Lonchura striata: one gene and its partner. Each later gene encodes a partner of the first gene's protein in a complex. Links are inferred from orthologs where the notes say so. Each region holds a gene or a part of one and is shown in the gene's direction. Other genes may lie near its edges.

Region 1 (3,901 bases):
ACGCTCTGGGGTTTTTATCACTGGCTCCTCCAGACTGGAACCCCCAAAACCAGCTCACAGCTCCCTGTTTCTTCCCCAGAGAGCCAAGGCTGGAGCTGTGCTCTCGGGGTGAGCATTGCTGGCCCTTCAGCGCCTGGCAAATGGAAGAACCCAGAATCATTTGGCACCGAGGACTTGGCCACTGTGGCTCATTTATTTGATTGTGTTATTTCTGTGCTGCAGCCCCGTGAGCTGTGTGGCAGAGGTAGGGCCACACAGAAAACCTGTGTGCGTGAAGGAAAACCCTGCACTCCGGGGAAGTCTGATCAGTTTGGTACAGCAGAAACTTGGGCTTTCACATGGGTATTTGGGCCAGGCAGAAAATCTCCCAGATTTTAAGTTAAGGGCTTTTTTTTCAGTGCTCTGAAAGCCAGATGCCCTGCCTCCAGGCTTTTCCAGTGCAGACAGACTTGACCGATATTCCCATGAAAATCTGGGTTTTTGGAACCCGGAGCTTGCTGAGGCTTGAGGAGGAGCCATGCCAGACGCTGGCTTGTGCTTCCACTCGGGGAAGACAACAAAACCCGTCTCTTTAAAAGCAAAGTAAAGGGGGGATAAGTTCTTTGAGGAGAACTGGCACCTTGAGCGGAGCAGAGGGAGCAGGACGGGAGGTCCGCGGCTCGGACCTGTGTGCTGGCTTCCAGCAAAAGGCCGGGAGGGCAGGCACCGGGAGCTGCTCCCGGCCGGCCCCCTCCTTCCTCGGCAGCCCGCGGGGCGTGGGCGGCGCGGGGCGCGGCGGGGCCGGCGGGAGGGAGCGGGGCGAGCATGTGCATCCTCCCGCCGCCCCTGCCTCCCTCCCCGCTCGCCGCCGCGGGTGTGTGTGTGTATGTGTGTGTGTGTGTGTGCATCTCGGCTCCCTCGCCAGCCCGGCCTGACGCAGGCGGATCCACATCGCCCCTGACAACACCCCGGCTCCGGAGCGCCGTGCCGGGGGTCCGGCTGCGGCGGCGGCCCCGCGGGGCCGGGCCGAGCCCAGGGGGGCGGCGGGGGCCGGGGTGGCCCGAGCGCAGGGAGGCGGCCCCGGGGGGGAAAGTTGCCGGGAGCGGCGAGGGGCGAGCGCGGCGGCAGGACCATGGGCACTTTGCGGGATTTACAGTACGCGCTGCAGGAGAAGATCGAGGAGCTGCGGCAGCGGGATGCGCTCATCGACGAGCTGGAGCTGGAGTTGGACCAGAAGGACGAACTGATCCAGAAGCTGCAGAACGAGCTGGACAAGTACCGCTCGGTGATCCGGCCCGCCACGCAGCAGGCGCAGCAGCAAAGCGCCGGCACCTTGCAGGGCGAGCAGCGGACCAAGCGCCAGGCGATCTCGGCCGAGCCCACCGCCTTCGACATCCAAGATCTCAGCCACGTCACCCTCCCCTTCTACCCCAAGAGCCCGCAGTAAGCAGGGGGTCACCCCGCCGCTCAGCCTCCCCTCTCCCTCATCCCGCTCCATCCCCGGCCTCGCCGCCGCCCGCCGGGCAGGGAGCGGAGCGCGGCATTCCCGCATCCTCCCCGGGTGGCCCCGCGGGGTGGGAAAGTTGCGAGCGCCGGGTTTGCGAGGGGGGAAGAGCGGCAGGAGTGAGCGCCGAGGTGCCAGCGGAGCGGGGCGCCCGGCTCCGACAGCCCGTCCCGGCTGCGGGGGGACCCGGCCCCCATCCCTGCGGGGGACGGTGCTGCCGGCGGGTTGAACCGGATCGCGTCGTGGGCACGGCGGCTTCGTCGCTGCGGGAGGGAGCGGGAGAAAGCCGGGGCTCGCTGCGGGACCCCGCAGGGAGACATTCCCAGCTGGGAAACTTGGAGGCCGGCGGGATGCGGTGCCCGGCTCTCCGGGAGGGGGCTGGTGTTTTGGGGAGGGGAGTCTGGCAGAAGCAGGAGCTTATTGCAGTGTCCGGGTGTGCGGGGGGCAGGGAAAGTTGCGGGGATCCTCAGGTGCCAGCGCGCCGGGGGATGCGCTGCCCCGGTTTCACACCTGCCGCAGATTAGGGAAATTAGAGCGCCTTAATGGGGAAGCGGAGCCCTCCCTCGCTCCGTGCCTTTCCCTGGCCGGTACGTCTCCGTGCCTTTGGTTCAGCGCTCCTCAAGGGATGAAAAAGGAGGAAGGAAAAGGTGATGAGCGGATGCTCGCCGCGCCGGGCTCCATGTGCGGGGCCGGGGCGCAGCCTCCCCGTCGGTGGGGCTGCCAAACCCTTCCTCCCCTCCGCGGCCGGCGTCTTCCTCGCGGGATGGTAACGGGGAGCGGAGCCGGTAGTGCGGGGCGTGTGGGACGGGGCGGGCGGTGGCGGGGCACGGTGGCGGGGACCGTGCCGGGGCTGGCCCGCTCCCCGCGCAGCCTCAGCCCTTCCCGCCGCCATGGCGGGCCCCGCCGTCTCCAGGCAACTGCCCGCCCTCAGGACGGCCGCCATGGCCGGACCCCGCCGCGCCGGGCCTCGTGTGCCCCTCCTGCCGCTCGCTCCCGCCACATCCCATTCCCACTTTGCCGTGCCCGCCCCCCATTCCCACCGCCACAGATATTTTGCCCTTTTAAGGCGTCCGGCCGCGCCGTTCTGAAGGATGTCAGGGGACGAACGGCGGTGGCGCCCGCAACGCCTCCCCTGCACCCCCAAAACGAGTAAAACACCCCAAAAAGTGAGCTGGCAGCACACGGGGGGCTGCGGTGGCGGAGGCCAGGCGGGCGAGCGGTCTGCGGAAGCCCTGGGGTGCGTGGTGAGCACCCAAGGTGGGATAAGGCATCCCACGGTGTTCATTTCCCCTGGGAACGCAAAGCCCCACACGGGTTGGTTTCCTTGTCGGCGCTCTCGAAGTGCGAATGGAGCTCCCAGAACTCCGGGAAGCGCCACAGGTTTCAGCAGAGCCAGTCCGCAGCCTCTGCCGTCCCCACTGAAATAGGTGGGAAGCCTGGCAAAAGCCTTGGGGGAACGTTTTCCAGCTGGAATTTTCAGCGCTCCTTGTATGCATGCAGTTCTGCGGTCTGGTGTGGGGTGTAATGCCCAACTCCTCCGAGGCGGTGTTTCATATTGATTATCTCTGAAGTCCAAGACTTCTAATATTATTAACAATTTTGATGTCAACTTGTGCTTTCAGGTTGTAATCACTCAGGTGGGACATTCTGGGGGTTCGGAGCAGCCCAGGATAGTGGAAGGTGTCCCTGCCCAAGGCAACAGGCTGGAATGAGAGAGCTCCTAGGGTGCCTTCCAACCCAAACCAGTCTGTGATTACAGGAAAAGATCCTTGCTAATGGTTTCAGGAGTGTACGTGGCTCTGGGAGACGTTGAGCGCTCTGTGTCAGCCCTAAGAGCCTGGTGACCAAGATAAGCTACTGTGGTGGTGAGGTTTAAGGTGGTGGGAACCTGGGAATAACAAAACCTGCACAAAAGGGTTGGGTTTTTTTCCCCCCCTGTTCGTGCTGAACCTCAGTGACTCTTGAGGTAATGGCACCCAACCTTTGGTTTTGTCAAGCCACCAAGAAGTGTTCAAAAGGCCGGTGGATGTGGCACTTGGGGATATTGGTTAGTGGTGGCCTTGGAAGTGCTGGGAGAGTGGTTGGACTTTATGATTTTAGAGGGGTTTTCCAATCAAGGTAATTCTAAAGTAGACTCTGTATTTTTTTTTTTTTCTTTTTTTTTTTTTGTAGTTAGGTGGTGCTGGATTAGCTCTCCTGATCTGGCAGAGGTTGCTGAAGATTGGTAGGATCAATAGCAGCAGAAACTCTCTGGGAACTGAATTATCATGAGAGTCACAGTAGGTACTTGAGGGTCTGTGGTGGTGAAAGCTGTTGTGATGCCACACAGAAGATTCTGTGTTGTAGAGTGGCTGAATTCTGAATGGGTGTAAGAGAGCTTGAGAGGGATTTGGGACAGCACACAGGGAATGGTTTCCC
Region 2 (3,901 bases), on another chromosome or scaffold:
ACCGAGCTGAAGCGGCGGCGACACCGGAACCCCCACCGGGACTGAGGAGGCCACGGGGCGACACCGGAACGGAGCGGGCGGACCCCGGGACGCCCCCCACGAGCACCGGGTGGCGTCCCGCCGGTGTCCGCCCCGTTAAGGGTTAACGGGGGCGGTTCGGGTGGCCCGGGGGGGCCCCGCGGCGGGCGGGAGATACCGGACACGGCGGGGGGATGGACACGGCGGGGGGGGGGTCCCGCCGCGCACCGGCCCGTTAAGGGTTAACGGGGGGGGATCGGCGGCCCGGGGGGGGCCCGGCGGCCCCCGGCCCCGCCGTGAGCCCTTATAAGGCGGCGGAGCGCGGCGGGCGGGCGGCGGCGGCCCCGGGCCGGGGCTATATATGGGCAAAGGTTCGGCCGGCCCGGTCGCCCGCGGCTCCCGGGGGGGCCGGGCGGGGCGGGGGGGGGTCCGGGCTCCCCCGGCCCTCCCGGCTCCCTCCGGCCCCGCGGGAACGGGGGAACCGGGGCCAGCGGGGATCCCGCGTCCCCAGTGCGGCCGCCGCCTCTTCCCTGAGGGTGTCCCCGCCTTGGGGTGTCCCCAGTGTCCCCTCCTTGGGGTGTCTCCAACGTCACATCCTTGGGGTGTCCCCACTGTCACCTCCTTAGGGTGTCCCCTCCTTGGGGTGTCCCCATTGTCCCTCCTTGGGGTGTCCCCACGTTCCCCGTCTGTGTCCCCGTGCCGGTGTCCCCGTGTCCCCCGCGGTGTCCCCGCACCCTCCGTGGCCTCGGCGCAATGTCCCCCGTGTCCCCTCGTCCCCGTGAGGGTGTCCCCGACATTCTCCGTGCCACCACGTCCCCCTGGCGGAGTCCCCCTGTCCCCCCGACGGTGTCCCCGTGTCCCGTGTCCCCTGTCCCCGTGTCCCCTGTCCCCATGTCCCGTGTCCCCGTGTCCCCATGTCCCGTGTCCCCCCGGCGGTGTCCCCATGTCCCGTGTCCCGTGTCCCCATGTCCCGTGTCCCCCCGGCGATGTCCCCATGTCCCGTGTCCCTGTCCCCGCAGCTGGCCCAGAAGTACGACCCGCAGCACGAGCGGGAGCTCCGTGCCTGGATCGAGGGGACCACGGGGCGCCGGATCGGGGACAACTTCATGGACGGGCTCAAGGACGGCGTCATCCTCTGCGAGTACGACCCCGTGCGACCCCCGGGACCCCGTGCGACCCCCGGGACCCCCACCGGGACCCCGTTCAACCCCCGGGACCCCGCTGGAACCCCCGGGACCCCGTGCGACCCCCGGGACCCCGCTGGGACCCCGGCTGTGTCCCCGGCTCTGTCCCCGCGGGCTGGGACCGGCCCCGGTCCGGAGGGTGAATTTTAACCCATTCCTCACCCGGGCTGACCCCGAGCCTGCTGAGCACAGCCCCCCAACCCCGCCGTGCCTGTCCCCCACACCCCGCTCCTGGCCGGGCTCTGGGGTCACCCAGGGGTCACCCAGGGGTCACCCAGGGGTCACCCCGGGGTCACTCTGGGGTCACCCCCTGACCCCACCCGTGCTCGGCCCCTCCAGGCTCATCAACAAACTGCAGCCGGGCTCGGTGCCCAAGGTGAACGAACCCGTCCAGAACTGGCACAAGGTGAGGGGACCCCCCAAAACCGGGGCTGGGGGCGGCTCTGGGGGGGAGGATCTGACCCCGAACCCCGCCCCGACTCCCCCCGCCCGCAGCTGGAGAACATCGGGAACTTCCTGAGGGCCATCACGCGCTACGGGGTGAAGCCCCACGACATCTTTGAGGCCAACGACCTCTTCGAGAACACCAACCACACCCAGGTCCAGTCCACGCTCATCGCCCTCGCCAGCCAGGTCAGCTCCCGGGGGTCCTGGGGGGGGCCGGGGGTCCGGGGGGCTCCTGGGGGTCCTCGTGTCCCCTCAGAGGACACCGGCCACACGCTGGGGGGGATCCAGAGCGGGGATTTGGGGTCTGGAGAGGAGATTTGGGGTCTGGGGAGGGGGTTTGGGGTCCAAGGAGGGGATTTGGGTCCAGGGAGGGTATTTGGGGTCTGAGAAGGGGATTTGGGGTCTAGAGAGGGGATTTGGGGTCCAAGGAGGGGATTTGGAGTCTGAGGGAAGAATCTGGGGTCCAGGGAGGGTATTTGCAGCCTGGGGAGGGGATTTGGGGTCCAGAAAGGGGATTTGGGGTCCAAGGAGGGGATTTGGGGTCTGGGGAAGGTGTTTGGGGTCCAGAGAGGGGATTTGGGGTCCAAGGAGGGGATTTGGAGTCTGGGGGAAGAATCTGGGGTCCAGGGAGGGGATTTGGGGTGTAGGGAAGGAATTTGGGGTCTGGGGAAGGAATTTGGAGTCCAAGGAGGGGATTTGGGGTCCGGGGAGTGGATTTGGGGTCCGGGGGTCCCCGTGAGGCCCCCCCCCAAGCCCACGGTCTCCGCCAGGCCAAGACAAAGGGGAACAAGGTGGGGCTGGGGGTGAAATACGCCGAGAAGCAGCAGCGGCGCTTCCACCCCGAGAAGCTGCGCGAGGGCAGGAACATCATCGGGCTGCAGGTGACACCCGGGGACGCTGGGGGGACACGGGGGGGGCGTGCTGGGGACAGCTGGTGACACCGTGGCCGTCGCTGTCCCCAGATGGGCACCAACAAGTTCGCCAGCCAGCAGGGCATGACGGCGTACGGGACACGGCGGCACCTGTACGACCCCAAACTGGGCACGGACCAGCCCCTGGACCAGGCCACCATCAGCCTCCAGATGGGCACCAACAAAGGCGCCAGCCAGGTGGGGACACGGGGACACTGCCAGCATGGGGGGACACGGGGACACTGCCACTCCATGGGGACACTGCCAGCATGGGGGACACGGGGACATGGGGACACTGCCACTCCACAGGGACACTGCCAGCATGGGGGGACATGGGGACATGGGGACACTGCCAGCACAGGGGACACTGCCACTCCATGGGGACACTGCCAGCACGGGGGACACGGGGACACTACCACTCCACGGGGACAGTGCCATCCTACAGGGACATTGCCACCATGGGGGGACACTGCCACCCCATGGGGACACTGCCACCCTACAGGGACATTGCCACCATGGGGGGACACTGCCACCGCATGGGGACACAGGGAGAGATGGCACCAGGGGACTTGGATGTCCCGGGTTAGGGGGACAAAGGGAGCGGAGAGCCCGCGGGCAGCGGGGACAGACAGAGCCGGGGACCCTGAGGTGCCACCGGCCCGGCCGGTGGCCCAGGCAGCCCCGGGGACAGCGGAGCAGGGGACAAAGGGGCTCTGAGGGGGGCACAGAGGGACTCTGGGGACAGGGAGGGGACAGACACCCTGCGGGCAGCACGGGGAGCAGAACGGAGGAACCCCCGAGCATCCCCCCACAGCCCCGGGGTGGCTGTGAGCCCCTCGGGGTGCCCGCGGCCACCGCCCGAGCCGGTCCCTGACCGGAGCCGGTTCCTGCCCCGAGCCCGTTCCTGACTGGAGCCAGTTCCTGCCCTGATCCCATCCCTGCCCCGAGCCCGTCCCCGTCCCGATCCCGTCCCTGCCCCGATCCCGTCCCTGCCCCGATCCCGTCCCTGACCGGAGCCCGTTCCCGCCGGCCAGGCGGGGATGACGGCGCCGGGGACGAAGCGGCAGATCTTCGAGCCGGCGCTGGGCATGGAGCACTGCGACACGCTGACCATCGGGCTGCAGATGGGCAGCAACAAGGGCGCCTCGCAGCAGGGCATGACGGTGTACGGCCTGCCGCGCCAGGTCTACGACCCCAAGTACTGCGGCGGCCCCGAGCTGCTGGGCCACGACGGCCTCGACGGCCACGACGGCCTCTACAACTCCCAGTAGCCGCCGGCCCGCGGCCGCTTGCACCCCAACACCGCTCGTCACCGGCCTCACCGCGCCCCGCCGAGCCGCC

Evidence for each region.
Region 2: PRKG1 (region 1) and CNN1 share a complex: the UniProt entries of both Homo sapiens proteins name them as parts of the cGMP kinase signaling complex. The link is inferred for Lonchura striata from reciprocal best matches to the Homo sapiens genes PRKG1 and CNN1.

What each region holds. Positions count from the first base shown.
Region 1 is NC_134609.1:37,896,552-37,900,452, forward strand, and holds the start of PRKG1 (cGMP-dependent protein kinase 1), read left to right. Parts: upstream 1-1,039; 5' UTR 1,040-1,111; coding exon 1,112-1,422; intron 1,423-3,901. UniProt on the Homo sapiens protein: Serine/threonine protein kinase that acts as a key mediator of the nitric oxide (NO)/cGMP signaling pathway. GMP binding activates PRKG1, which phosphorylates serines and threonines on many cellular proteins.
Region 2 is NC_134623.1:1,329,938-1,333,838, reverse strand, and holds the start of CNN1 (calponin-1), read left to right. Parts: upstream 1-1,078; 5' UTR 1,079-1,124; coding exon 1,125-1,159; intron 1,160-1,541; coding exon 1,542-1,608; intron 1,609-1,697; coding exon 1,698-1,835; intron 1,836-2,419; coding exon 2,420-2,530; intron 2,531-2,611; coding exon 2,612-2,758; intron 2,759-3,594; coding exon 3,595-3,831; 3' UTR 3,832-3,901. UniProt on the Homo sapiens protein: Thin filament-associated protein that is implicated in the regulation and modulation of smooth muscle contraction. It is capable of binding to actin, calmodulin and tropomyosin. The interaction of calponin with actin inhibits the actomyosin Mg-ATPase activity.